Linked DNA regions of Oreochromis niloticus. The protein of the gene in region 4 purifies or fractionates together with the protein of the main gene of each other region. This does not show direct contact. Links are inferred from orthologs where the notes say so. Each region holds a gene or a part of one and is shown on either strand. Other genes may lie near its edges.

Evidence for each region.
Region 1: the proteins of shc1 (region 4) and AP-2 complex subunit alpha-2 purify together in Homo sapiens (affinity purification with mass spectrometry; 4 studies listed by BioGRID and IntAct, with this or other methods). This does not show direct contact. The link is inferred for Oreochromis niloticus from reciprocal best matches to the Homo sapiens genes SHC1 and AP2A2.
Region 2: the proteins of shc1 (region 4) and lrrk1 purify together in Homo sapiens (affinity purification with mass spectrometry; 3 studies listed by BioGRID and IntAct, with this or other methods). This does not show direct contact. The link is inferred for Oreochromis niloticus from reciprocal best matches to the Homo sapiens genes SHC1 and LRRK1.
Region 3: the proteins of shc1 (region 4) and ap2a1 purify together in Homo sapiens (affinity purification with mass spectrometry; 4 studies listed by BioGRID and IntAct, counting the BioPlex papers as one, with this or other methods). This does not show direct contact. The link is inferred for Oreochromis niloticus from reciprocal best matches to the Homo sapiens genes SHC1 and AP2A1.

What each region holds. Positions count from the first base shown.
Region 1 is NC_031965.2:39,416,073-39,423,598, reverse strand, and holds the start of AP-2 complex subunit alpha-2, read right to left. Parts: upstream 3,021-7,526; 5' UTR 2,744-3,020; coding exon 2,677-2,743; intron 777-2,676; coding exon 708-776; intron 143-707; coding exon 1-142. Other genes in the region: tryptophan 5-hydroxylase 1, read left to right, coding at 6,600-6,755, 6,895-7,078, 7,164-7,264, 7,341-7,408, 7,496-7,526. UniProt on the Homo sapiens protein: Component of the adaptor protein complex 2 (AP-2). Adaptor protein complexes function in protein transport via transport vesicles in different membrane traffic pathways.
Region 2 is NC_031965.2:4,655,388-4,662,513, forward strand, and holds the start of lrrk1 (leucine-rich repeat serine/threonine-protein kinase 1), read left to right. Parts: upstream 1-4,106; 5' UTR 4,107-4,672; intron 4,673-5,235; exon of another isoform or gene 5,236-5,305; 5' UTR 5,306-5,395; intron 5,396-7,126.
Region 3 is NC_031969.2:2,264,063-2,271,312, forward strand, and holds the start of ap2a1 (AP-2 complex subunit alpha-2), read left to right. Parts: upstream 1-4,230; 5' UTR 4,231-5,008; coding exon 5,009-5,075; intron 5,076-7,250.
Region 4 is NC_031976.2:20,859,235-20,867,057, reverse strand, and holds the start of shc1 (SHC-transforming protein 1), read left to right. Parts: upstream 1-4,819; 5' UTR 4,820-7,823. UniProt on the Homo sapiens protein: Signaling adapter that couples activated growth factor receptors to signaling pathways. Participates in a signaling cascade initiated by activated KIT and KITLG/SCF.

The DNA of each region.
Region 1 (7,526 bases), on a different chromosome or scaffold from region 4:
ATCTGCTTCTCCGTGTACTTGTTGGAGCTCAGGAGGTTGACGGCCTCCATGTGCCCGAAGTCGATGTCGTGGCCCAGAAGGAAGATGAAGAGCAGCTTGCAGACATACTTCTTTTTACTGTAGCCATCCAACGCCTTGTCTCCTGCACGCACACACACACACACACACTCTTTACTGTCTATGTGATAAACAGCAGCATTTTATTCCAAACAGGTGAGGCTCGGAGAAAAGAGCAGGTGGACTTTGTCTGATTCAAATCTAGTCAAATAATCCAAACCCAGTGAGAGTGGGAGGTTCAGGATCTGCAGCAGTGCAACATCAAACACACGTAATCTCTGTTTTTGCATGACTGGGCTTTAATTAGGCGTTTGGAAACATCATCATCAAATAAACCTGAAGAAAGAGTGTTACGCCACCCTTAGTACCTCATGGATAAGAAGCACAGTTGCAGAGACATGTGGACACAGTGAAGAGGCCTGAATGCCGGGTGGAGAGGGCGGAGAGGAGGCGCTATGTGGACACTCCCTGCCTGCATATCGCCTCCTCTCTGCAGCAGACTAATTATAGGCAGCAAGGAACAGGTGGCAACAGGAGAAACAGCAGCAACCAGAGAGTCAGTGAGGTTTCACAGGGCGACACAAAGCAGTCAGGACAGGAAGCAGGAAGCACGTCAGGTGACTCGGCGAGCTCGTTTCTCCATCACCTACCTTTAAATTTGGAGCGGATGTTTGCCAGCTCCTTGTTTATCCTCTTTATCTCGGCCTCTTTACTTTTACCTGCAGACAGATCAGCATTATTCAGCATGCACAGAGCTGTGATCACTCATGAATACAACATCCTGCCTTTTTTTAAAGGTCGCCGCCGCTGAGGAATGTGGCGTCCAGGTTCAATCGCACACTACAACATAACAGCTTCCTGATAAAGCAGTGACATATCTTTACTTTATTAAGAAAATATCCCCAGAAGCAGGAACCTCAGGCCGCCCGTTTTTGAAGCGTAGACCTGATGACGCTGCAGGATCACACAGAGCTAATCCTCCCTGCTTCCTGCTCCTTTCTCGCTCTGTTGTGACCAAAACTTCCAAACCGAACATCACGCTTTGTTCAGCAAGCCCCGAAACCAGCGGTTGAGACCATAAATCATCATTACAGTGTTTACTGAGCTCAGATCAGCTGAGCTGGAGCCTCTTTTTCTCACAGACTTCCATCCAATCAGACTTCTCTCTGCAGCCGCAGGAGTCGCCCCCTGCTGCATGTTTGAAGACACGTCTGTGTCAGATTTACCTTTCAGCTAAATCCATCTTTAAGTCCGGTCTCTGATTGTGACAGTAGGAACATTTTTCATGTGCTTTGTTGTGAAGAACGTGATTTATAACCTGATGAGCGTTCACCAACATTTCACATCGACCGGATAATAAGAGGTGAAGGGAGCAGAGTGGATGTGGGAGCGCTCACTGACAGTCTAAGCTGTATGAACACAGAGGGCCTGAGATCAGCTGTGACTGAATCAGCTGCACTATCAAATACAGAAGGCTTATTTTGAACTGTGAATCACAGTAAGCTGCTGTGGTGGATTCAGAATAGGTCACCCTGAAACACCAGCATGAACAAAACCAGCAGAGCAGCAGCAGCTGGGACACTGCAGAATAAAATCAGAGTCAGGACGGTTTGTGTCGGGGCAGCAACAGGAAGCTCTGAGGCCGCGTTCCTGTTTTCTCACCCAGAACACTAACATGCAGTTCTGCATGTTAGTGGTCCTTATGTTAGGCAACATAAGGACCATGTGGGCGAAAGTGTGGGGGAAAGTCACCTGACTTTAGTGTTTCTGGGTTAAGGTCAGGGGTCAGAGAGTCATCTCTCTCTCATGTCCCGGTATAAACGCTCACGGACGTGAAACGTGTCTGTTTCTACAGAGGCGGCAGCACAGACTCACATCACAGAGTGTAAGGATGCTGAAAGAGGCCAAAAACCACTGGCCTGCTCATCATGCAGGTACCGCAGAGCAGAGTCGTACCGTCACACAGCAGCTGATTCAGTTACTGTAGCTGTAACTCGTTCCCACGATCAGCAAACAGAAACACGGGGAATGTCTACCTGCCTCGGCCTCACCCGAGTTTCTCACCTTTCACCTGTACCTGCCCACGAACACGCTCTCATTTCAAACTTTTATTTTCCACGCTGCTGATTTTCCCTAAACCCCCTGGAGAGCACCACCACACTACTCTCGCTCTTTCACGAGTACTCAGATTACCGTTTTGCATTACTTTTCGCGATTAACGTTAGTTCCAGCTAACGCCAACTGAGGCGGTGGCACGGAGATTTTACACACCGACTTTTTCGACCGGCTAAGGCGGCACTGAGCCGCTCATGTTGGCCTGATAAAGCAGCTCACGCCGTTAAAAAGTGACGGTTTGTTTATCTCCCCACGGCGGCCCACGCCCTTTGACACGGTGACGTTAGCAGCTCCGAGCTAGCAGCTAGCGTTGATTAGCCGGGGAGGTTTGAGCTCTGAGCGGGAGTTTATCCCACTTTAACGGGGTAAATGTGCCCAGAATGAGGGCGGCAGGGGCGGGAAACTGACCCCGGGCTCGAAGTCCCCCCCCGGGCGTGTTCCCTGAGGTCCCCGCGGTACAGAGGCTAGCCGTGCCTAGCTGCAGGGTGAAGGAGACAAACTCACAGTTCCTGATGTCGGAGATGAACACGGCCAGTCCGCGCATCCCGTCCCCTTTAGACACCGCCGGCATCCTCTCCGCTGCTGGGGAGCTTCAGCTGACCCGGACAACCCGCTGCTCGAACCCTCAACTCTCTGTCTGTGGAACCGCGAACCGCCGCTGCGAGCACCAGGAGCCCCGACATATGACCGAGACAGGAACCAGACGGGCCGCGTCCCCTTCAGCGCGGAAACGCCCTGTTCCAGCCTCCTCAGGCGGGCCGCGTCCCAAACATGTTCGCTTTACCCACTCAACTGAGTGAACGCACCCGGCCCAGTCCTGACCTTTCAGCAGCCCAGAACATCTGGAGCATGAGCACCGAGGACGGGAGAGCTCCCAGATGTTTGGGAGACTATTAGAGTCATGCTACTGTCTTCATCATTTTTATTAAAACTTTGACTCAATTCATTTTTCAGTTTAAAAGTTTGATATGTTGTGATTTGCATTCTGTTTTATGTACTTTTATAAAAGTCCCAACTTTTTTGTAATAGACGTTATGACATCAAGACAAACAGCTGGGTTATAAAGCGGATATTGGGGAGGGGGTTCTTTTGACGAATTTCTGAAGGCCCTGTGACAGACTGGCGACCCGTCCTGGATGGTAGCTGGGATAGGCTCCAGCGCCTACACGACCCTGAAATGGATAAGCGGAAGAGAATGGATGAATGAATTTCTGAAATTTGATAGGCATTAATTAATGAAGACACTGTCTAAATTATTGGCTTATTTTTCAAACTGAGAGACTTCCTTCTGTGTGAAGCTCTTCTTCTACCTGTCTCTATTTGAGCCTCAGTTAAACTGCGGTAATGTCTCATGGTGGAACATGTGTCTTATTTATGTGGAGTAATTACAGACTTTCCAAATGAAAGTGAGATACAGTACGAGACACGTTATGGTCCAAACGTTTGGAGCTGGCTGAATGCAAAACTTTTCACAAAGCCAGTGTAATTATGGACTCGTGTCATACTTTGTGGTCTCTGCACTGATACAGGCTCAGTCCTAAAACTGTACACTTCTCAGGCCTTCACAGTTCTCAGTAGTTTTCCGCTTGAATTACACACTCTGATTATTTTATTCCGTTATTCCTCAGGTGCTGGTCTGCAGCGTTACCGGGCTTTAGCATCTTTAGAGTAATTTTGGGATATTTTTAGAGTCGGCTTCATTTGGATTCATGCTGGAAGTTATATTTGTATTTCATGTGCATTATTTCATTCATGTGAATGAAGATCAGAGCGTAACAAGGTAAAGCAGTAAAAAAACGAGCCTGCACAGAAACACATACAGCATCAGCAGACAGTGCTGCACAAAGGCCTGGGCTCTCTAATCGCATAAACAGACAGTAGATGGATCACACTCTGAGTCTGACTCATTAAGCTTTTCAAAGAAGCAGCATCAGGCTCAGATCTGCAGCCCAGAAAATCACGGCTGCAGTTAGCAGCAAACCCACATCAGTGACGTTCATCTCAGAGGGCTGCTGAGGGTCACGTCCGGCCGTAAATGTGTTTAAATACGCCAGGCCTCATGTGGAGCCTCCTGGAGTCAGGCTGCAGTTTTAGACAAAATTAGAGGAGCAGATAGAGACTTCCTGTCTCTCGCTATAACTACAATTACTCATTATAGATGGACTACATGGCCATTGTGAGCTACCCTCCCGTATGAGGTTATGACCATGAGCAACCGAACATGTGATGAAAGCTTTGGTGGAAACTTCTAACTCACAGTGAGTGAGTTATTTTTATGTAAAACTAAACTGCTCTGCCAAAAGCATTCACTCACCTGTCCAAATCATTTAACTCAGGTGTTCCATCACTTCCACAGGTGTTTCAAATCAAGCACCTACTCATGCTGACGGCTTCTACAAACATTTGTGACAGAATGGGTCGCTCTGAGGAGCTCCAGCATGATGCTGCGATAAGATGCCACCTGTGCAAAACGTCCGCTGGTGAAACTGAAGTTGCTCTTTGTTGCTGAACAGGTGACTCAGACCCGCCCTCTGTTTTCTGACAGAGGTGATGTCCTGAGCGACGAATCGAAATTCCTGATGACTCCTGATCACGAGATCCAGTTGATACGTTTTGAACTCTTATCAATAAAAAGCTGTGATGGCTCGCTTTACAGTCCTTTTGCAATATTATTATCAGTGCTTGTGTACACTCACACTGACTGGTTGCTCCAAGCGTAATTATCTGGGTAAAAGAAAACACTGATACAGACTGAAGAAGTCACTTGGATGAGTGACGAAACGTTTCTCCCACAAAACGCTACGTCCAGATGAACAGATTCAACTTTTGGAGACTGATACAGTTTTATATTTTATAGCTCTGGACAAACAGTGTTCCCCTCCTTACACTGTAGTTACACGTGACTATTTGGAATGTTGTCTGTATTACAGAGTATACTAGCCGCTGTAGCTCGGGAGGTAGAGTTCGATCCCTGGCACTCCGCCTGGTCTGCATGCCTTTGGGCAAGATACTAACCCTAAGTTGCTCTCCAATGCATCCATCAGAGTATGAATGTGTGTGAACATTAGTAAGCACTTAAAATCAGAAGGTGAATGTGACATGTTGTATAGAGCGCTTTGAGTACTCTGGGACAGAGGGAAGTGCTATATAACAATCAGTCCATTTACCTGCTGAAAGATCCAAAAATAACCTGCTGAATATGTCAAAAAATTAATATTAAAACAGGACTGAACAAAAAAATGATGGTAAACTTTCAAAAATTAGAACTGTAAATATAATTTCTGTATTCATAACCAGAAGTTTCTTTAAAATGACTCAACAGTGTCTCCAGATTCACCTTACAGCTGTCTGCACCCGAGAGTACTGTGTAACTAGAGTCCACGACAGGAGGTCAGAATACTGATAATACTCTGTTCTTTAAAGTATTTGTCACTTAAAGCATATTTTGTGTGTGTTTTCTGTCTTATAAATAATTCTTTTATTTTGTCCAGTGGCTAATCACTGCATAAAAATACAGTCAGCAAACAGACAAACAGGAATCTCTTCATTCCCACATTTCCAGAATTTAGGGTTTAACTGTCTTCATATGTAATAGAAGAGAGAACAGCAGGAACCGACACCTGCAGCTCAAAATGATTTCTGTGAGTTCAGTGAAAGAAAGGAAAGTTTGCTATCCTTTATGATACAGCCTATAACTTTAACATGTTGGATACTCATTAATTCAAATACTTGCAACATAATTTGTTCCCTCTCTCTATTAAAACTGTTCTACTGTAACTACATTTCAGTTTGATTTAGAAACGTGTGCATGTTTCAGGTACTGAAAATTACACAATGAATTCAGAAACCTTCCACGTATAACCTGGGAAATGATATTACAGTCATACACTTCTATTGTTATAACTAATAAAGGATGTTAATCCTGAAACAGTGTAAATGAAAATGTGTCATAAATACAGTAAATATCTAATTCATTGTACATAAACAGTACACAGTACTATAAACATGTTGCTGTACAGTAAATTATTGGCATGAAGCTAACAGTAAGTCGTTCACAGTTACTGTAAAGTTCACGTGTTCGTGTATTTTAAAGGACAGTTACAGTAACACTTTATCATCACGTGTGTTTGACTCTACAATAAGTGATCAGGTGGTGACGTGTCAAAGCGCCGTGTGTTGTGATGTATGTGGCATTATGCTGATCTTCCTCCTGATGAATATTCCTCTCTGGAGCGCCCTCCCCTCTGCTGCAGCTTCATAAACGCAGCAGCCGCCGTGCAGAGCGACAGAACAGCTGGAAACTCATCCTGTCTCAACCTTTACGTCTTACTCCTACCAGACGACTCTCTGATGCAGCCAGTGCAAAAACAAGTTTACTGAACCATCATTATAAATTTCATATTTGTGTCGCTGAAATCCAGAGAAGCATGTACGCCAGGAAGTCAGAAGGAAAGGAGCTTCGCAGAGGAAGGTCTTTGGACAACAGGACCGTCTCCAGCAGCTTTGGGAGAGGGTCGACAACCATCATATTCACTCTGAAAAACGAAGTCGGTGGTTTTATAAAGGCACTGAAACTTTTCCAGGTGAGGTTTCATTTTCTTTATGTTGACACAGATATGGTGTTTTCTGAGGATGTGTGTGACTGGCCAGGAATTTGAATTTGATCGGAAGCATTTACAGCATTTTCTTTGGGTGTGTGTGTGTGTGTGTGCACGCGCACAGGAAAAACACGTCAACCTCATTCACATCGAGTCCCGTAAGTCCAAACGAAGGAATTCAGACTTTGAGATCTTTGTGGACTGCGACACAGACCACGAGCAGTTCAAGGAGCTCACCGAGCTGCTCAGGAAGCACACGGACATCGTGGAGATCTCGCCATTCGACAGCTCCGCTCTACCCGAGGACGGTACACCTTGTCGTACTTTGACTAAACAGAAGCTGTGATAGAAATGAGTTATTTCACAGGTCTGCGTGTGTTGACTGTGTTTCAGATGTGCTCGGTGTGCCGTGGTTCCCCAAGAAGATCTCTGACTTGGACTTGTGTGCAAACAGGGTTTTGATGTATGGCTCTGAACTTGATGCAGATCATCCGGTATGTGGGTCGTCGGACAGAGCTCTGAAATGAAGTGTGAACTCAGTAACCGACTGAGGTTTTGCTGTTCCTGCAGGGATTTAAGGACAACATATACAGAAAAAGAAGACAATATTTTTCTGATTTAGCTATAAACTACAAACAGTGAGTTCCTCTTATGGATTTCTTCATTAATGAAGTTAATAATAAAAACCTAGAAGGGCTTTCATCCTTTAACTCTGTCTCTCACAGCGGTGAGCCCATCCCTCGTGTGGACTACACT
Region 2 (7,126 bases), on a different chromosome or scaffold from region 4:
GAGGGGTGGTGCAGTGGGTTGAGGGGGGAGCACCATAGAGGCTGGCAGGGCAGGTAGGCTGGCACTGATTGAGTAACTTAAACAGTACCAGCCGCAAACCACACCTCGCCACAATGTATAAAAACTGTCATGATCCTGGGTCTTTGACCCAGTGTTTTGTGTTTTCTATTGTTGTGATATATTTTGGTTTTTGGTTCTGTTCTTCCTCAGTTTAATGTTTAGTCATTCTGTCTGTATTTTCCTCTGTGTAAAGTCCGGGTTTCTTAGTCTGTGTCTTTGCATGTGTGAGTTCCTGTTTTATTTTGTAGGGCTGCGTCTCTCGTTTTTGTTTCTGGTTTCGCTTCCCCTTGTCTCGTTATGTCCAATTACTCCCAGCCGTGTCTTCCTCCTGTTTCCCATCCCCTGATTGCCATGTGTGTTTTTAAGCCCTGTGTTTTCTGGTGTGCATGGCTGGTTTGTCTGCGTTATTTGGTGTTTTCTGGTCTGTGTATCTCCCTCCGTCATCCTGTGAATTTTCCCTGCAAGTTGCTTTCACTTGTGTTCAGGTTTTGTTGTTTAAGTTTAGTTCTCCCAGTATAGTGTGTTTCTAGTTCTGTTTCTCGCCGCTCTTTTCTTTGTTTGTTATCTCACCGTCACAATAAAGCTCACTCACTTCAGAAGCTACCTGCATCTTGGGTCCTTTAATAATTCACATGGCTTGCCCCGCAAACCGTAACAAAAACAGAAAGAAAGTCTTTGCTGTATTGAACATAGTCATGAATAACTAACAAAAAATGCAATTTCTCTTTCATTTTCTGTTCTCAGTGGCAATAGTATACACTGTTGTAGATTGGGAACCACTTTACATGCTTTACATCTGGCTGATGTTCACTAATACGTTCCTGTTTCTTTGGTCCAGAGCAATGTATATTCAGCTTTAAGAGCCAACAGGAGGCCATAGAGAGAGCAAATAACTCACACACAGTATGGCCTAGTGTCAGCAGGCTTTACAACAAGTGTGGACAAAGCTTTATCAGTGTCTGCAGCACTGGAGACTGGCACTGTCTGGTAAGTCCCTTAAAGTCCCTGTTTATGGTCCTAACAGCAAAGGGATGTTAAAGTTTGTGTAAATGAACATGTAATGTACTGGTTAACTATAATGTTAATCTTTGCTTATTTCTACTCAAACTGAAAACCAAATAATTAAATATTAGTAAATGGTTTATTTATTTGATTTATACCAGTGGTTCTTAACCTGGGTTCGATCGAACCCTACGGGTTCAGTGAGTCGGTCTCAGGGGTTTGGCAGAGCCTCCGCTGTGACATGCACACCTCATTTTGTGCACCAGTAAAAAACATATCTATGTCTTGAATTTGAAAAAAATCATATTTTATTTTTCACTTAAGAGGGGTTCAGTGAATGCGCATATGAAACTGGTGGGGTTCGGTACCTCCAATAAGGTTAAGAACCACTGCTTTATACCATGGATGGACTGTTGCAAAGGTTTGTATCTTTACTGAACACATGAAAGAACTGACAGTCAATAAAATGAGACCCCTCCCCCAGACTCCCTTTAGAGGGTATAAGCCTCAGCTGTTTCATTATTCATATGCTTTAATTATATTTATTGGATCTGTACTTTCTAACTTTTCTCATGTGTTGTCTCTGTCTGCTCAGTGGAGAATATGCTATTGCTGAATACTCTGAGGTGAAAACAGTGATGATCAAAGTGAAAGAAACCATCGGAGAAGAACTGGGAAAATCGAGTGCTCTGCACTTCCTGTCGCATGAGACCACATCACAATTCTCTAACACCCATACTGTTCACTCCAAGTATTCCAAATCTTCAACCCTATTTATAGTTTGGTATGTTTGTAGACTGCCAGTTCACCTTTGAACCTGTAGTTAAGGTTTCTTAGTCAGAAACTCAGTTATTCTCCACGGGAAAAGTACAAGAAACAGATATGATCTTCTGTCATGTGACTACATAGATGTGTCTGTAAACCTTGTCTGTTCTTTTCCTTACAGAAGGTTTTATGAGAGACACAAACAAATAAAACATCCACTCATCCAAAGTCATTTGTTTTTATTTGGGAGACTGGGCAGAAATACCATTCATTTACAGTATTCCTGATGTATGCAAATTGACTTTTTTGTTCTGACCCAATTTAATCTAATATAAATATTTGCTGCTGAGGAAGATGTTCATTTCATTTCAAATATAAAAAAAACAAATGTTTCCAGTACTACACAAGGTAATACTGACCTTGCCATTTACATTTTAGCACTAGTCATAGCAAGAATGTTATCATTGCATAGGTAGCAGCACTTGTTTTCTCATACTTTGTACTTTTGATAGAAATTCAGAATGAACAAAATAAAATACAACTTTTGTGAGCCTTTTATAAGAATGTGATTTCTTTATATCTGAAGAGGCTTTAAGGAAGTTGACCAAATGAACAATAGTGGAGAGATATGAAGGACATTTATGACAGGTCATTAATTCATTTGATTTGTCACATCTTCCAAGGATTGACTGTCCCAGCAAATTAATTCTGAGGTGAGACCATGTGATTAAGACTTATTTGAAAGCGTTTCTTCTCTAAAAAGAATATGGCAGCATGGCTTAGGTTTGCAAAATGCCATCTGATCAAGCCACAAGACTTCTGCAACAATTGTCTTCAGACAGACTAGACCAAAGTAAAGATTTTTTAGCCATAATGCACAGTGCTACATATGGTGAAGCCCAAACACAGCACAAATACCTCACATCAGCTGTCAAATGTAGTGGTGAAAAGGTGATGATTTGTTCTTGTTTTGCAGCCACAGGACCTGGCTCCTTCCATTTATTGAGTCAAGCATGTTATATGGGACCATATGCTTTAAACACATAAAGCATATTAAGGATTGTACATTAACATATTTTATTGTGAAAACTGTTGTCAGAACCATACTGAATTTAACCAGATAAACTTCTCCAGTCCAAACAACATTCCGATGTCACTGCTGTATATCCTGGTGGTGTGGATCAGTGAATGTATGTCTCTGGCTGATGATTGCTCCATTTCCTAGTCGGCAACCAGTCTTGTTAATGATCTCACTGAGGGGGTTCGGGCCCATGCAGAACAGCAGTGGACACAGAGCATCTCCTTGGTAGATCCCGCATTTGGTGCTGACTTTAGCTATTGACTTGAAGCTGGCCTCTGGTGTTGTACATTGAGTTCCCCGTGTATATATATATGTATATATATATACATATATATATATATGTGTGTGTGTTTGTGTGTGTGTGTGTTTTATGTGTGTGTAGAGAGAGAGAGAGAGAGATCGTATGCATAGTATGTAAACGGCTAACAAGCAGCCATTATAATTCGTCATACAATGAGAATAGGAGACAAATCAACAATCAGTGTCTGTCTACTGCTTACTAAGATTGCCAAGTGGCTAACAAACGTAAACAGAAATGTTATCTTGTTCAGGATACATGTCATACATAATACCTGCCATCATCCAATGACATATCTGCTTACCTGTATCTTTTGCTAGTTTCTCCTCCTCCTTTTCTCTCTTTTTTTGTACACTGAGCACCTGATGGCTTTAACCTTTTCTTGTCAATCTTCCATTGGTGTTCATCTTGCACTCCAGTATCAACACCCATCCCCAAACCCGAAAATCACCACAACATAACCTAACAGACCTACACTTTAGTGCAGAGATTCGCACAACCCAGGAAAAAATAATTAATACATAACAGGCTTGGATTGACAACATTATGAATGAAATGTGCTCCATTTGGAAGCACCCCCCCCCCCCCCCCCTTTGGACAGGTTGTGTGATCGACCTGAACAGCACAGCATCAGCAGCAAGCAGGCGCACTGAGGGCCATCGCGCTCACTTTTCGCATATGTGTGTGATAGAATTTAGAAAACACATCGGTGCAAATTATAAATCTATATCATAATGTATTCTGTTTTTGTGGTTGTTGGTTTGTTTTTATTTAGTTTTATTTTGCGAGCTGGTTATTAAATGCCGTACCAGCCAGCCAGAGAATCCCTCGCCCCTCCCTGTGCGGCAAGCAGCAGGCGCACCTCGAAAATGGAAGGCGCCCATGTCGCCCATATCAAAAACCGCCACTGTGTGAGGCCATCTGTCCACGAGACCAAGCTTAGGTTAAAATTGGATCATGCAACAAAACAACGATCCCAAAAAACACTATCAAATCTGCAGAATCCTTGAAAAAGAAAATGTCAATTTCAGACCTCAGCCGGACTAAAATGTTGTGGAACGAGCTGAAGAGACCGGTGTGTGGAAAAATAGCTGGAAACCTGAATGAAGTGATGCAACATTGCGAAGACGTTTGGGCCAAAATTCTTCCTGAACTATTCGAGAGATTGATAAAGTCTCTCACATAGGAATTTAAAGGTGTTTGTGCTAAAAGCGTTTCTACAAGCCTTTACAACGCTTCTGGACCTTATTTTGAAAAACACATCAGGCATCGATATTATTTTGAAAATTAATACCGGAAATCTCTGTGTTAAACAACCTGACTGCTCAAAATTCGTCCGGAGTGGAAAGTTTTTATCGTGGAATCAGGAAGTCCAGTAAAAGATTGTTGTGAGGTAATCCGCGGCTGGTATATACAGCAAAGCTGCAAAACCCTCTCTGTCTCTCACTGGACCTTTCAGGCATGCGGTAAGTTGGATATTAATGCTGTGCCAAGATGTGTTGTGTCTCATGGTAAGCAGAAACCAGTAACTCAGTTGTCGTGATTTGTCTGATTAACTCTTTTTTTTGACGGAGTTACTGTTAAAACAAACAAAACAAACAAAAGTAACAAGGGTGTTTTTCAAAGTCTGACCCATTTTCTGTGACATGTCCCACAAATGAAAGCACCTTGTGTTCCAGCAGTCATTATTGTTATTGTTATTATTATTATTATTGTTATTATTCAGAAGTTGGCAAAGAGTATAAAAATTGCTGTACCACACAGCAGAGACATGCACAGACATTTGCACTGTCGGCGGCTACAGTCACAGTCGTTATACCTCATGTTGGCACTCCAGACTAAAGCTAGAAAATGCAGCATGGAACACATGCAGGGGCCTGTCCTTCCAGCTTTCTGTTGCCTGAGGTATTTACTAAGCACAGTTATAGGCCATCTTCCTGATGCGCACATGGATGTTTGGTATTTCATGCTAGATAGTGGTTATGACTCCCACTAGTCCTCGGTCTCCTCCTTTCTGTTTACTGTATAGTCTCAAGGTGCTGGACTTGGGGTGAAACTCTGTAAGGAGCTTCCTTGTCAGTGCTTCCTATGGCCAACAGGGTATCTGACTACGGGTGTAGGCGTAGATTGCCCAGATCTTGTCCTTCCCAATCATCCGACTTCTCGGGACATTGCCTGACCCTCCGCAGGTATTTGGTGTTTGTCGCTTTCCTAGTAGTCTCTTCATGGTTCCCATTTGCCTGTGCGATTCCAGGTGCTTGTAGCTGTCCTCTGTGACTGCAGTGTTGTCTTCTGGTTGTGCGATCCCTCAGTTTTGACTATTAACAATTGCTGTAGTCGGTAGAGCAGGGCGATATGACCAAAAATATTTATCACGATATACATTTGAAATTTTGCGATAACAATATAACTGACGATATAATTGACACTAGGCAAAATACTTTACAACTCCACAACTTTAATAGTGCAAAAAAAAACCCATCAATGTATTTTCACTTAAACAAGCAGCTGTTTTTTATGTGCATTAAAGCTATATAAAAATTTAACAGTGCAAATGCAAATTCCTCGCTGACAGTTTAACAAAAAGGCATTTCCAGTGGAACTTGGCTGACATATCCTGAGCATAACCATGTATAATATCCACAAAACTTAAAAAGAGGTTATACACACACAATATGGTAATATTATGTTGAAGCACAGTACGTATCACTCGGCGAGGCTCCTGCCTACGATAGCCGTAATGCTCCGACAATCTATCAAGCAGTGCGGGTTTGTAGCTTAGCAAAGTCGTACTAAAACATTTGACAGATTTTTGAGCGCTGTGTATCACATTAAATCGTTTCGAGGTCAGTAAATGCAACCAGAATTCACACATAAGGCACACGGGATTATAAGGGGCACTGTCGATTTTCAGAAAAATCAAAGGATTGATTCTAAGTGTGCCGTATTTTCCAAAAAACACCGTAATAACGACGGCCCGCTAGCATGCTCTACCAAAAATAGTGCTTTGTTGTGTATCTGACAGATGAAAGCTAAACCAGTTCCACATCACTGAAGTTGCAGCATTTTTACAAACCAATTCTGGTTCATCCGTTTCATTCAACGATCCGCTTTCCCCCTTCTCATTCTCCGTCGCTGCCGTGCTTTTTCCGCCATGTGCGTATGAAATCAAAGGCACTTCGCATGCGCGTTTTACCCATATTCTATCGCGATATTTCATTTTCTTATCGTTGCCCAACATTATACCGGTATTACCGTGAACGGTATGATATGGCCCAGCCCTAGTAGTCGGTGTCCATAGCCAGTCTTGTCAGTGCCCTCGGTCAGGGGTCAGGCCTATGCAGGACAGTACTGGTGACAGGACATCTCCTTGGTAAATCCCGCACTTGATGGCGACTTGTGCTGTTGGCTTGAAGTTGGCCTCTAGTGTTGTTCGCGACATCCCCATCCTTTTACTGCTCTGCTCATATAGTGAGCCATATGTCTGTTTATCTTAGGCACTATTATGCCTGATAGGACATTACATGTGGTCCCGAGGCAGGTTATTGGCTGTTAGTTAGATGGAACCGGTCCCTTCTGGGGATCCTTGGGGATCAGAATTGAAACACAGACACAGCAGCTTGGCACCCTCTCTACCTCTGTGCCCCCATCAAACACAAGTGGTTATTGATGATGTGAGTCCTGGTAAGAGTAGTAGGATAATCCTACAGCACCATACTTCTTGCTCATATTTAGCCATATCTTGTAAAATGGATAGGGCAACGCTACAATGTGCAAATAGATGACACTAAAACAAACAGCAGAAGCAACCTAAGAGTTTCTCAAGGTAAAAAAAAAAATTGGATTTTAATCAGTTAGTCATCTAATGTCAACACGATAGAGGCGTGCTTTTCAGGCGTGCCTTCAGTTCTGCCGACAGA
Region 3 (7,250 bases), on a different chromosome or scaffold from region 4:
TTAGACATGGAAACAAAGAAATTGTGTCGAGAATGTTTTAGAGTGATTTGAAGTACTTGATGAATCATTTTTGTATTTAATTCAACAGAAGCTTCTTCAACATAAATCCCAGCCAAAGATGATGAAGGGCAGAAGAACATGGAGCAGGCGGTTGGTGGTCTTCTTCTCTGACATGAGGTGAATGTGCTCTCATCTGTGAAGACGGCGGGATGCCGGTGGCAGACAAGCCAGTTCAGTATTCTTTGGGCAATGTCAGATAATCTGCATGGTTCTGTACTGTGAGAAGAAGTAGTTCCACTAAAGGACTGCCAGTGTTTGTTCTGTTCCTACTTGCACAGAGACACTGAGGCCCAGCTGATGCCTTTCTACAGCCCTGTCTTGTCCTACTTTCTTCTGTAACAGCCTATCCCCTGGTATTTCTACCACAGTATTGAAGCTGTGCTTGGAGACACACACTTCTTCCAGCTGCACCTATGGACATGCCATGGACTGTGGGCTGCTTCTGCACTGTTTCACAGTAACCCTAAACTGTACCTAGACTGAAACATTGCTGTCGACATGTGTCCAAATATCTTTAGGTGTCTGCAGGAACAGGGAAACTTCCCATCTTCAGTGTAACTCAGTGGTTTCATTGACAGGTTTTTAAACTTTGAATTCTGTTGGGTTTTATGGCTCATTAAAAGCCGTTTGAACAGAGCACTGTTTCTTTTTCATAACACATTGTTAAAGGTTTTCTGTTGTGGTCTGTTTGTCAACAGAATGAAATTTTGAGGTACAGGAAGTAAGTGTGTCCTGACTGTTTAAGAGTTGTCATTGTCAATCAAATGACTCTGATCAAATTTCTGCACGAGAGCACATGTGGGGTTGATGAAAACTAGGGAAGTGCGTGACTAGTCGAATAATCAAGGTCGCTGTCACTAAGTGGTTTAGAGCACTTCGCTCTCACACTGCAGGCCTACTTGTTGTTCGTAGAGTATTTAAAAGTAGAATGGGAGGCAGAGCCTTCAGTTTTCAGGCCCCTCTTCTGTGGAACCAGCTTCCAGTTTGGATTCAGGAGACAGACACTATCTCTACTTTCAAGATTAGGCTTCAAACTTTCCTTTTTGCTAAAGCATATAGTTAGGGCTGGACCAGGTGACCCTGAATCCTCCCTTAGTTATGCTGCAATGAGGCTGCAATAAAAAAAATCCTGTTTTCCTTCTCTCACCCCAACCAATCACAGCAGATGGCCCCGCCCCTCCCTGAGCCTGGTTCTGTCGGAGGTTTCTTCCTGTTAAAAGGGAGTTTATCCTTCCCACTGTCGCCAAAGTGCTTGCTCATAGGGGGTCATATGATTGTTGGGTTTTTCTCTGTATGTATCATTGTAGGGTCTACCTTACAATGTAAAGCGCCTTGAGGCGACTGTTGTTGTGATTTTTAGCTGTATAAATAAAATTGAATTGAATTGGTATAGAATAGAATAGAATAGAATAGCCTTTATTGTCATTGTACAGGGTACAACGAAATTGGAGTGCAACTCCCTTGGTGCAAAAATACAATAATAAATATAAATGTAAAATATAAAAGGTGCAATAAAACAAACAATAGTAAGTACAATATATACAGGATAGCAGCATTAATATAATGACAGTATGAATAGCAGCATAATATAATGACAGTGACAATATGGAGTAGCTAAGCAGTTTCAATTGTTTTTGTGCTTATTTACTACGGTGATAGCTCTGGGAAAGAAGCTATCCCTGAATCTGTTTGTCCTGGTTTTATGTGACCTGTACCGTCGGCCTGACGGTAATAGTTCAAACAGCTGATTGCTGGGGTGAGAATGGTCCTTGATGATATTGCCAGCTCTGCTGAGGTACCGAGAGTTTGCAATGACCTCCAGGCTGGGCAGAGAGCAGCCAGTGATCTTCTGGGCTGTGTTGATGACCCTCTGCAGTACTTTCCTGTCTGCAGCAGAGCACCCTGCATACCATGTTGTTATGCCGTACGTTAGGATGCTCTCTATGGTGGCTCTGTAGAATGTCACCAGCAGCCTCTCCTCCAGGTTGTTCCTCCTGAGCACTCTCAGAAAGTGGAGACGCTGCTGGGCCTTTTTTACCACCGCCGTGGTATTTGCAGTCCAGGAGAGATCATCAGAGATCTGCACGCCCAGAAACCTCATGGAGTGCACCCTCTCCACACAGCTCCCGTGAATGTACAGTGGGGCCGGGTCTGCTCTGCCCTTCCTGAAGTCCAAGATAAGTTCTTTAGTTTTCGTGGTGTTCAGTTGGAGGTTATTAACTGAACACCACTCAGTCAGTCTGTTGACCTCATCTCTGTAGTCCGACTCATCCCCCCTTGAGATGAGTCCAACCACGGTGGTGTCGTCCGCAAACTTTATGATGGTGTTTGAGAGATGGGTAGGGGAGCAGTCGGATGTGTAGAACGTAAACAGGAGGGGACTCAGAACACATCCTTGTGGAGACCCGGTGCTGAGTGTGATGGTGCTGGACAGGTGGGGGCCGAGTCTAACAGACTGTGGTCTGTTTGTCAGGAAGTCCTTGATCCAGAGGCAGATGGGGGTGGAGAGTCCCAGGTGAGACAGTTTCTGGACCAGGATCTCTGGGATGATATGATTAAATGCTGAGCTGAAGTCCAGGAAGAGCATTCTCACATAGCTTCCTCTGTGCTCCAGGTGACTCAGCGCAGTGTGGAGCGCTATGGTGATAGCGTCCTCGGTGGATCGATTAGTCCTGTAGGCAAATTGGTGGGGGTCCAAAGTGGGAGGCAGACTGGCCCTGATGTGCTGACAGACCAGTCTCTCAAAGCACTTCATCACTACAGGCGTAAGTGCAACAGGCCTGTAATCATTTGGGCTGACCACAGCTGTCTTCTTGGCGATGGGGATGATGGTGGAGGTTTTGAGGCAGGGTGGGACGGTGTTTAATGACAAGGAAAGGTTGAAGATTTTAGTGAAGACTCCGGTCAGTTCGTCAGCACATGCTCTGAGAACCTTTCCATGTATTCCATCAGGACCTGCCGCCTTCCTGGGATTCACTGACCTTAGAGCACACCTCACTTGATGCTCCCTAAGTGTTAGTGTGCCGGTGCTGGGGGCGGGTGGAAGTGGTGTGACAGCTGAGGGCCTGGTCGTCTCAAAGCGGGCGAAGAAACGATTTAGATCCTCAGCCAGCGAGGCATCAGTCCTAGATGTCGCCTGGTTATTGCTTCTGTAGTTGGTAATGTGATTGATCCCCTGCCACATTTTTCTGGGGTCGTTGTCAGCAAAGTGATCTTCAATCCTCCTCCTATAGGCAGCCTTAGCTTTCCTGATGCCTCTACTCAGGTCTGCCCTGGCCGCCCTGTACGCAGCCCTACAGTATCAGACATACTAGTGGTTTAATCTAATGATTAACATTTTAATTGATGCTCAGTGCTGCATGTTGCATCTCCAAAAGTTGAATCTGTTCATCTGGACGTAGCGTTTGGTGGGAGAAACGTTTCGTCACTCATGCATGTTGCATCCTAAATGTTATGGAGCCATCTGCTGCCAGCTGCCACAGAACTACAGCATCGTTGTAGATCAGTGTCCTAATGCTGTTAATCTAAGACCTGATCTTTTTGGTAGGCATGTTATTGGTTTCAAATGCCTTTGTTTAGACACTTTTTGACCCTGTCCATTAAACGGTCCTAAGATGGATTATCTGAGTGCCCCAAATAACTGAACATGCGGGTAAACAGACACATTGCACGCGGACCAATGAATACCTGCGCAGGTGAAATTGCATGTCATTTGCATTTGATGTTTTCAGTTCTTACATAATTATTTAAAACAATAACGTCTGTTATTGTTAAATCCTCACTGCACAGTCTTGCACAAACTGTAAATACCAAAAATGATTCTCTTAATATTTAATACTTTAGTATTTTATTATTTTTTTTTATTTTATTATATGTTCTTTCTTAATATACCTGTACACATGTACATGTTCATGTAAAGCTGAGGAACACGAGCATTACAGGTAAATGTTGCTACACTGTTTATCTGTATATGACAATAAAACTATTGTCGACTGGACACTACAGCTTAGCACTGTTAACACGAAAGCCAACTTTTAGCATACTTTCATCGGGCCGGCTTCCCTGCCGCTCAGTTGTAGCCTGTTTTCCATACAAATGGCTTCATGGCAGAGGTGCACTGTGTTGGTGCAGCGGCAGCCACATATCGCCGCAAGTTGTCCAATCAGCAATAGGGTCCACTCGAACGACGAAAAGGAGCGTAGGCGTTCACGGGTGTGCTGCGCGGTCACGTTATTCTGCTGTCACGAGCCTGATCCGAGCCGTACAGTGGAGGCTAAAGAATTGGAGCGGACATCAGTTATACAGGACGTAATATTTTTAACCAAATTTAGTGCGCGAATAGAGAGCTCAAAGAAGTCTTACCGCTGGTTGGTATTTGAGACGCTCTACTGAGTTATTCCGATCAACCGGTGATGTACTCCAGTATTTGAATGATATTGCTAGTCAGCTAGCTAGCTAGCTAGCTGTTAAGCTAGCTTTACGTTGCGTGACTCGAAGTAATTGAAGAATATACTCTCGGACAGCATTCTTACTAACACGTCTGAGTGCATTTATCTTTAAGACATTTATCAGTAGCCGTTTTTATCTTTAGCACATTTTTGTGGTATGAGTTATACGTAATTTCTAATCCAAGGTAGATGAGGATTGAATGAAATAACGTTAGCTTGCCATAGCCAAGGAAACAAGCCAGCTAACAGGGATAACGTTAACTTATCCCGCTGCTTGCTGATAGACTGCCATCCAGCGGATCTAGTAAATGCTACCTGAATTACCCACCTAAAAGCATCGACCGAACTTGGTAGGCAGCAGTCAGTCACAAAGTTGCAGAGAGGCAAACGGCTACTACCAAACATCAAGTTTGCCATCGTCGACTCCAGTCCGCTGTGAAACGGTGACCGGCGTCAGTGTTTTTCGGAGAAGGCCAGAGTGAGGACAGAAACCTGCAGACATGCCGGCTGTGTCGAAAGGAGATGGAATGCGCGGATTGGCCGTTTTCATTTCGGACATTAGAAACTGTGAGTTACCTTTCTTTATGCTACTTCATCATATGTGTTATTATTTCATTGTGTCATCAAAGTTGACATGGCTAATCTCATACATCATGCAGTGTTGTCATGTGGTATCCTCGACGCAGAAAGCTCTATCTACTTTTTTTAAAAATCAGTTTCGTAACGTTTAGTGGAACAATCAATATGATTTCTCACGTATTGACAGTAATGTGACTGTGGTGAAGTCACCTGCAGGAACAGAATAAAGGATGTTAGGCTTGGAGTAGCAGCTCTGATCAAACGTTTCCTGTTGTATAGTTGTACATGTTGGAAAGCTCGGCGACGAAAGTTCAATTCGCATTTGAAAATTTAGTGTCGTGTCAGGACGCTCCACATGTCTGACAGGCAAGGAAGACTGAAGCTTAAACGAAAACCAGTGGTTGGTATTTAAAACAACAACAATAGTATCAGTGATTACAAGTATAAATAAATAATAATAAATAATACTATTACGTGTAACAAAATGCTACATATTTCCAGCAATTCACTGTCTGTTTTTTTTTGTCAGTTTCCCAGTAATATTTATTCCAGTGATGACGAGAATGCCAGTTTTCACTGTTACTGAGTAGTAACAAGAATTTAGGAAGTAGTTTCCATCTCCTCTTTCCTTTTTGCCGTGATTACACATTTCAGTGTTTGTCACTGCAAACCTAACAGCTACTCCGGGCTTACATTGACAGGCAGTAATGGCTACTTCATGGTGGAATATTTGATACCTCCAGCTTTCATCAGAATCTGAAGTACACTGTATTGTTCTGCCTTTGGGCACGTTTAAAGAAAAATTCAGCAGAAAATAAAAATGTGTGACCTACAACTAGTGTAAATGTTCAAGGTGACGAATATTGCAAACATTTGCAGTGTCGTCTAGATGACTTGTTTTCAAACGTGCTGTGTCAGTAGGGCACCAAAGGGCAGGCAGACCTCTCCAAACACATGTGATTTGTAGCCTTGGGAAATAGACTTGATTACATGTTATCAAATACTCATTTGAAATAAATAGTAATAACATGACAGGTTGTATTGGAATGTTATTGACAAAAGCTTGTGAGAATGAATTTGAGTCTTGTTATGTCGGCAACAAACTTATGTAAATCAGACAGTGAACTGGTTGATTTGAGTCTTTTTATTTCATTTTAAGCACTTTGAGGTATTGCATGAGGTGTATCTGTGCTAACGGAAGCCTGTTAGAAACAGTTGTCTGCTGCCTGTCCAGTTGGGGAGTGTACCACTTTTTGGACAGATGGTAGTTAGAAAGCTTTAACTCATCAGCCATGCTGGTTGGTAGCTGTCTATCACTGTTTGAGCAGGAAGGCGGGCTGCAGGGTGACAGCCCATGATTAAATCCCATTCATTTATCATGATCATCATTGCTTTTCATGGTAAAAATGTTTTTTAGTGACAAGCTCTTTGCCTTCTGCTGTTCCAGTGTTGCTTATCATTATACCTGTTTAAGCAGAAAGTAGATCTGTCTTTAATTGTAATGTTACTTGTTCAGACTAAACACAAATTAGGTCAATAATTGGCAAATGCAGGCACGTGGTCAGGCAGTGGTTTAGGGAGAGCTTGTTGTGGCAGAACATGCATTTTCAGTATTGTGTGATCATGTTCGATTAATTATGGCCAGCCAAAATCATGATCAAGACCCTATTGTGACTGTTCTGTTTAATAAGGCCTAAGCACTTAAAGTTCAGTTCAATTTTATGAACATGACATCAATTGAAAACAATAGTTGCTTCATATTGTAAAGTAAAGGTGGCATGGAGATTTTGCCATGAAACAGGAAGTTGTGAAATCTGGTAGTGTAATGTCCCGAGATGGGCCATAGCCTGAACCCAGCTGAAGTCAGCTATTTGGCAACATTTTGAGGCTTTGTATTTGAGGAAACTCCTCGTAGGGATCTTACTGAATCAATTCCTTGGTCAGTCTAAAGTGCGATTTTAAAATGGTATATTTTTTTCTGCAGGAACATCCTAAAGCCTTCCAGTTCATTTATTTAAGCTCACAGTAGAGCGGGACTAAATATTGATACAGAAATGTGTCATCTTCCTTTTGCGATACTTTATCAACACACCATTGTCAAATATCAGTGGTGACCAAGCCTGAATGTTCATCCAATATGCAGGCTCTCTAATTTACCTCACT
Region 4 (7,823 bases):
CAGCGGTTTCAGTTTGACAGCTGTGCACGGAGTCCGTGTGTCTCAGACGCAAAGCCAATTCAAAAATAAAGAATTAGATTTTTGTTAGCAGTGCAAATATTACCGCAGATATTAGACTTGGATTTGGCCTGTGGTGCATCGCTATTGACAAAACACAGTGCTGAGGTGCTAAGCTCTTATAAACACTTCGAGACTGTTGACACTACATACGCTTTTTGTGTGGGTGTCTTGACCTGTGAGGAGGTGTTTTTCTCGGGTTCCTTCTGTCTGGCGTATGTACTGTATCTGTCTGTCTCTCCGACCATGTGGGGAGGGGGGTTGTTTATGTGCGTTGGTTTTTTTTCTATTTCCTGGTGTGTATGAGCGCATTCTGGAAACCAACTGTAGGAGTTTGTTTTTGAGGCCATAGCATGTGGTTGTCCGTCACTGCCTTCATACAATAGAGCCGAGTCTCAGCTGCGTTTCCTCCTGCGGTGCTCAGTCTAGCGCGGCGTGCTCAGTGTGCAGCGCACTGCGTGAGCCACAGTTTGATTAAAATCTCGTCCCGTGCGATGCTAAAAAAACAGAAGTTAGTGCAGCTTCGGCGGAATTTCATTAGCAGCGTGATGGCTGCTGATGGTTTTCCTGAATTCTGTATGAGAGGCTCTAATTGTTGCATTTTTATATGCAGCGCGTTACAGCGGAGTGACTCTGTGGTGCCACGTATCTAAGTTGAAAGTCTGTTTGTGTCTTTATTGTGGTTTCTCTCTCTTTTTACTCAGAAAGCTGAGATTGCATTTTCAAACGGTATCTCTTCTTGCAGATCAGGATTCCTTCAGGCTCGCTTCAACGGAGGTCTTCAGCATATTTTAAAGATAATAATAATAAGCCTGAATGTGCATGCCCACAAAGCAGGCAAAATATGTATATATTTAACACAGTTATTTTCTCAGTTTTAAGTAAAGCTCTTGTACTCCAAGAAACTCCAGAATTTTGTACTATTTGGGGAAGACTCTCTGCTGGGTACAGCTTATCATAATTATCATATTTGATCAATCATAACAAAATCTGAATAAAAATAGAGTTTTCTTCATTTCGGTGAGTAATAATTGCATTTTAAAGGGGATTCTGCATGCTTTATTTCATCTTATTGTGAAATACAGCTATATACCATTAAGAAATGTCCACCAGTTGTCTTTTGCAAAGTTAAAATTTCCCAATAATCACACATTTATGTCCGAATTAAACTGTAACATTTTCAGGCAAATCACAGGTAGCTGAGCAGAAAATGTGATGTTTTTAGATGGAATGATCCCACATCTTACTTCAGCTTATAAAACAGTAGTATTGAAGTAACTCTTTAGGGTCACTTTAGGGTCAAGCTAACATCTCCTAGCTGTTATTGTTTTGTAACGTTGATTATTCTGTGTCTTGATTTCAGTGCAACTCCTCAGCATGCACTCTTGAAGCCACTGGTTAACATTATTCAGATACACTTGGACATAAAGCAATGTTTAAAGAAACAGCAGTAAAATAAATCGACTTGGAAACTTGCTAAAATAACAGTAAAAGCAGCGACTCAGCAACATGTACTTAAATTAGATGACACAGTCTTAATGGGTGAAGTGGTGTGGTTGTCCAGTAGAAAAAAGTTTGAATCAAATTGTGTTTGCACTTTGCTTTCAGCTGTTCGCCCCTGTTTGCTGTGTGATCGGAACTTTTGTTAATTGAGCAAAAGCAAACTGCACAAAGTTTGCAAAGCTATGACTTAAATCCGGAAACATATGTTTGTGTAAAAGAAAAAACCCGACCCTAGTATTTCATGCAAACTTGAACCCTTGAAGAATTTCGATACTCGCTGCTACAGAGGACTAAAAGTTACGCCAGACAATGTTCAAAGGTTGAGCTGGAACTTCAGTGAAGAAACACCGCAGTTTCTGACAAGTAAGCCGTTAAACTGAGAAGGAAGTTGTAAGTGGAAGTTGTAAGTGGAGCAAAGCAGAAAGTGGTAGCAGGAAAGGAATGATGGAAGGAGATAGAGATGTGGGAGTGTGGTTAGAGGAGGGGTGGTGGTGGTGGTGGAAGCACAACCCAAAATAGCCAGCTCACATGTTTGCTGTGTGCGTAGTGAGCTATGAAGCCGAGAGAAAGTACTCCTGCTGAAGCCCCGGCTAATCTAATGTTCACCCTCAGCCTAATTTTTGAAAATTTGATTGCCTTTTTCCAGTGTGCCTGCTTATTTGTGTTTACGTTTGAGACTTTCCCGTGTGAGTTACGCTTCCTCCCTCTCTCCCTTCTATTGTTCATTCTTTACTCGACTCTTTACTGTCTGTCTTGCCTTGATAATAGGAATTGATGTTAGTCAGCATCTCTGGCAAGAATCCAAGAGGAAAATGTCAGCATCGAGGCCCCGTTTACTCATCTTTGCTAATTTTTTTTTGACTAGTTCAAATAAGGATAAGTGAGGTGGGTCAAATCACATTACACACACACATGCACACACACACACACACACACACACACACACACACACACACACACACACACACACACACACAGATATACAGTGTAAGAGCAGACTGCAGATGTGGCCCTGCAGCGTGTGCATTAGATCCAGAGCTCTTTCTTAGTCTGTCTCCGATTGTTTCATCTAATAAATACTGACTAGCTGCAGTTTCCACAGACTTCTGCAGGCGCAGAACACCAAAACTCACACTTGCTAACTCGCACTGGGCAAGCTGAAACACAAACAACCTACACATGCAGTCCTTTGAGTTGATTCTTTTCATTCCACAGGGTATGTTTCAACATGCACAGCGGATTTCTGCCTTTCTCCTTTCACTCTTCCTCTCTCCTTCCTTCGCTTTCTGTTACTTTATCCCTCTGAGTATCGCCCGGCCTCTGCCCTGTGTCAATGTTGTGTGTCTATGTGCTCGATATGAAGAAGGTCCCATGACTCTCTCCACAGCTGATGCTGGGAGCAAAGCATGCTGGAAGTCAAGTGGCTGCAAGGGCGCTGGTTTGAGCACGCTGTAATTTGCTCTTTGATTTGTGTGTGTGTGTGCTTGTCTGCGACTGTGTATGCTGTGTACTGTGTGCTGATGTGCACCTTGGTGTTTTTAGGGCTACAGACTCTCACGCTGCCTGTGCTGGCTGATGGAATATATGGTAAGACATTAAAATCATACGAGCAGCTGATTAAAAAAACACATCGTGCCACGGTGGCAAAGGAGTTGCTGCTTCTAAATTTCTGATATAATATAGAAATGAACAGACTCTCGCATCCAGCCCTGGTGGGCATATGTGTAAAGTAAGCGTTATTTGTTAAAGCACCGTAATTTCAGGGCTGCACAATTACACCAAGAATAAGATAAAATTGCTCCCAAAGATACTGTGGACACATGAGTGATTGTAGCTGGTGTGCAATATTTCACCAATTAAGATGCCTCCTTTCCATTTTCATGAAATTATAATCGAGCGTTATGAAAGTGTCATGTTTCAGGCTTTGATATGAAACAAACTGGAATGTTCTCTGACCCATTTAAAAGGGTTTCCAAGTAGCATATGCAACATAAAACAAAAACCTTATTCAAGAGAGAGAGCCTTCTAAGAAGCAGTACAATGTGATGCAGAAAAATCGCACACCCCTCTTTTTTTACACCTCATTTAATATTGCACAAGTTTTCACCTGCAAGAAGGAACTGGAAAAAAAGTCGTTTTGAAATCGTGCTTCAGTAATTGTACAGCCCTGTGCATGTAAATTTATTGTGGTTTGAATGGGATGTTAACTTTGCTTCCTCTGCAGTTTATTAGTTACACCCAAATAAAACAAATGCAGTTGGAAGCTGTGAGATAAACCTTACATTTTTGAGATAAAAAAAAAACCCATATCTATATTTTCAGATGGATATTTTTGGTTATTTTTGGAGGCTGCGGCTCCACGGAGAAGAAAGTGGCTGAACTGCAGTAGTTTTAGTTGGGTGTACTGAATAAGCTGTCAGCTCAGCGTGATTGCTACCTTTTTAATGTAAATTCAAGATGGCACTTGAACTGTTAATTCACTGAATCTAATAAGGGAGCACAAAATTTCAATTAGGTCAACCCTAAGCCACAGTGTATCGTGTGTTTCACTGGTTCTGGGCGTCTCGCAGGCTGCGGGTGGAGGGTGTCTTCTTCGCCAATCATGCCCGTCACTACCAATCAGATCACTGTGTATGATGACGAATGTTAGCTGTCTGCAGTTTGTCTCATTATGAACCTTCACATCCTTGAGTGCACTGCTTGAGCTCATGATGATGGTGTAGTGGTGAAATTGGGTACTGCGGGGACTCTTTGGGGTGTCATTTGAGGACTCTCTGCTATCCACTCTGCTGGGTTCCTGTGTCACTCTATGTGTGGTTTCCTCTACTTTCCGCAACACTGCCTTCTCATCAGATGCGCTCGAATGTCAAGACCAATCTGTGGGATTTCTGCTTTATGTCTTCCAGTCTTTTCCCCTAGAGTGCTGTAGTCATGTAGTAACATTGGAAATATTTATCATGCGAGTGCAGTCTGCTTTCTTTTTCCCCTCACTTTGTCCACTTACCAAGGTTATATAGAGTGACCTCATGTCACAGCACACAGAGGCTATCTATATCCATCCTTCCCCTCTCTCTCTCTCTTCCCCTCACTCTTTAACTGTGTTTCTCAGGTTACCAAACATGAATAAGGGAGGAGCGTTGAATACCCAACATGAACAGCCCACCCTCCACATGCACACACAAACACATGTATCCACCATCCCTTCCCTTCTCTCCCCTTCCCTTCATTCCTCCTTCCCCATCCCCATCTCCATCTCCCCTTGGAGTGTGTGCATTTCTGAGTAGAAGTGCAGCATCTTGCTGTGCATACACATGTATACTGCTAAATGACTCTGGCTGCAGAGAGAAGGTGGGGGGAAGGGAAGGAAACAGGAAGGAGGTAGCATGGGAGAAAAGAAGGTGGGGAGGGCACAGGCTGTGGCGCGGTCGTGTGTGTGTATGTGTGTGTATGAAAGAGAGAGAGGGAGAGAGAGAGAGAATGGGAGGCAGCATCACCCACCCAGACTGGGAGGAGGGGAGGACAGACAGTGTGCTTGTGCCTCTAACAGACAGACTGAGGTGGAAGGAAAGTGGGGATGAGAGACAGACGTGAGGGGAGAAGAGGAGCACAATGAAGGACTACCATCTACCATCATCCATCCTGGCAACACTGCCATTTCACCATCTGCTGAAAGAGTGAGAGAGAGAGAGAGAGAGAGAGAGAGAGAAAGAGAGTGAGAGGAGGGACGAAACAAGGAGGCAGCCAAACGGAGGAGAGGATAGATGGAGAGGAGCTGCCGGCAGTGACTTTGTGAATTAATCGAGCGGAAGAGCGGATCAGAGGAGAAGCACGTTTTTCGGGGAGTGGACGAAGGGAAAGCTAGGAAGAGGAAGGAGAGGACGAATGATCGGACAGGCTGTGGCCGTTTAAACATTAATGTGGTTCTTATGTGAATACGGAACCTAGCTTTAGGAGAATCACCGTGGATTATCAATTGCATGCTTTATAAACCAAAAAAGGAACTACTTCGGTTTTTGTTTTGTTTTTTTGTTTTGTTTTTTTTGCCATTCATTAAAACACTTAGGGAAATCGATAAGACTCACTTTATACAGAACAGTTTAATTACTTTTTCTTTTCTTTTTTTGGAAATACAGACTCCCTTTGTGATTTTCTATTTTCTTTCCCTATCCCTCATGAGCATAGGATCTACTCTGCAGGATGTTATACAGTCATTCTAATCTTTGTTAGCTGCTGCACAGAATATTCAGGTTGTTTTTATGCAAGTTTTCTAAACATCAGTTGTCTTTTTGATGTTAATTCTTGGTGAAATTCTTGTTTATACAGTTATTAGAAAAGAGATTATTGTTCTTTGAACACAGTGTCAGTTTTACATGCCCTAGTCGGAGTCGGTGCGAGCGACCGACGTCGGATGTCAACATTGATTGGGTTTTATGGCTGGCGCGATGCCGGCCAAACTTTGATCATTTCCTGAACCATATTGATCTTTCTAGGAGTCTGTAGTTTTTCTCCTGTTGGATGAAATAAAAAGAGCTCTAATGTGGAGCCTTTGATGGAGCTACTAATTGCTTGCAATGTGATTTGACAAAGCGGTTATCTCTTTGTCTGAAGATTTCTGCTGTTGTCAGGACTTCTCAGTATATATCCTCTGCAGGCATCTCTTTTAATGTCTGTTGCCATAGCAACGGGCAGCAGCTGCAGACAGAACAAGATGTAAAGTTGGTTTTTCTTGTCCTATCTTTTTAAACTGGTGCTGTGCCATTAGGTAATTGTATATATTTACTAGATAAAACAAGATTAGTCCATTGTTTGTGTCAGTTTTTAGAGTTTTTGTTTCCCTTCTTCTCCAGTAGACAGTCCTTGTCTTTGCGGAGCTCGGCAAGCTCCGGGAATCAGGGTTGTTTCAGGTCACCTGTCTCCCCCTCCCAATTTTCCGTGTTCGCCTTGTACGACTCATCTCCGTCCAGCCTGTCCCGATCTCACATTTATTAATGACAACTACCATTTCCATCAGTCAAACTGATGAGCTCTTATCAGAAATGACTGGATGAATTAGATTACAGTACTGATTTCACTTGTACGTATCACAGCTGCGTGGCCCCAAGGCCACCAATCACCAGTCATTAGCTGTGTTTGTGACAGCCTTTTCCTTTTGCTGTTTGTCTCTAGGTGACTCAGGATTTCTCTTCCTGTAGAGGGTCATCTCCTCTGCAGTCACCTGACCTACACTGTGTTCGGTGCACTAAAACATCCCTGGGAAGAGCCAGGGTTAACTCTGCCCATAGAGCATTTCAGCAGCTCTCTTTTTTTTAACAGCACCTGAATTTCTCTCCAGTGTTAGCAAGTCTACTGAGATTGAATCCTTTGCCTTTTTAAGTGCTATTCTTCTTCTCTACGGACTAAGTTCTGGTTTTATTAGATGTGTGACAGACCTTTTTGTTTAATCTGCATGCTCTTTGACTGTCCAAGTACTGTGAGTGTGTGCATGTTGTGACTTTTCCAGCCATACTACTTTACAGCTTTCTGGAGATCATCCCAGCCTGTCTTGCAGTTCATAAGTATGACTGGATCCTCCATGGTGCTTTCTGGCCAAGACCAGATGGATGACTAGCTAGAATTGCTAGACAATCCCTCTGTGGTGCTAGACTGGTGTAGGCGACTGTTCCTTTGCCATGCATTGAGCGCCCACCACAAGCTTGCGGGCTGTCCTTCAGGCAGAGTGAAGTTCTGAAATCTTAGTGTGAGGAGAAAAAAATAATCAACCTTTTTTGCTTGGCATTACTGAAACGCTGGTGCCACTTTTACAGACTTTTGTATGTGTTGTGGAAAAGGTGGGTGTAAACCTTCTCCTTTGAGGGAGCAAAGGTCAACAGATTGTAAGTATGACTAGTGCCTCAGCAGCACTAAGTTGTAGGCCAGCCAGCCAGCTTGCTGCTGGACTGTAGGTGTAGCTTTGCCTCCTACTGAGGTCAAACTGTGGCTGACTGTTTTAATTGTGGGGCTGTGGTTTGTGAGAGACTGTTAATGTAAACAGACTGTTGTTTGCCTTCTAGATTGGACTATGCAGACTATGAGATGTGAGGTGGTGTCTGTACAGTAGAGAGAGCTTACCTGCTGCTTGATAAGCCCTGCTTTAGATAAGGAAGGAATATAACTCTTGGCTCGTTCATATCATCTGTGACAGTGTCAATATTTTTCTCTCAGGTAAATAACTCTGTCCTGCGATTGCTATTTGAACTAGGCCGTAATAAAGTTACAGGGTGAGA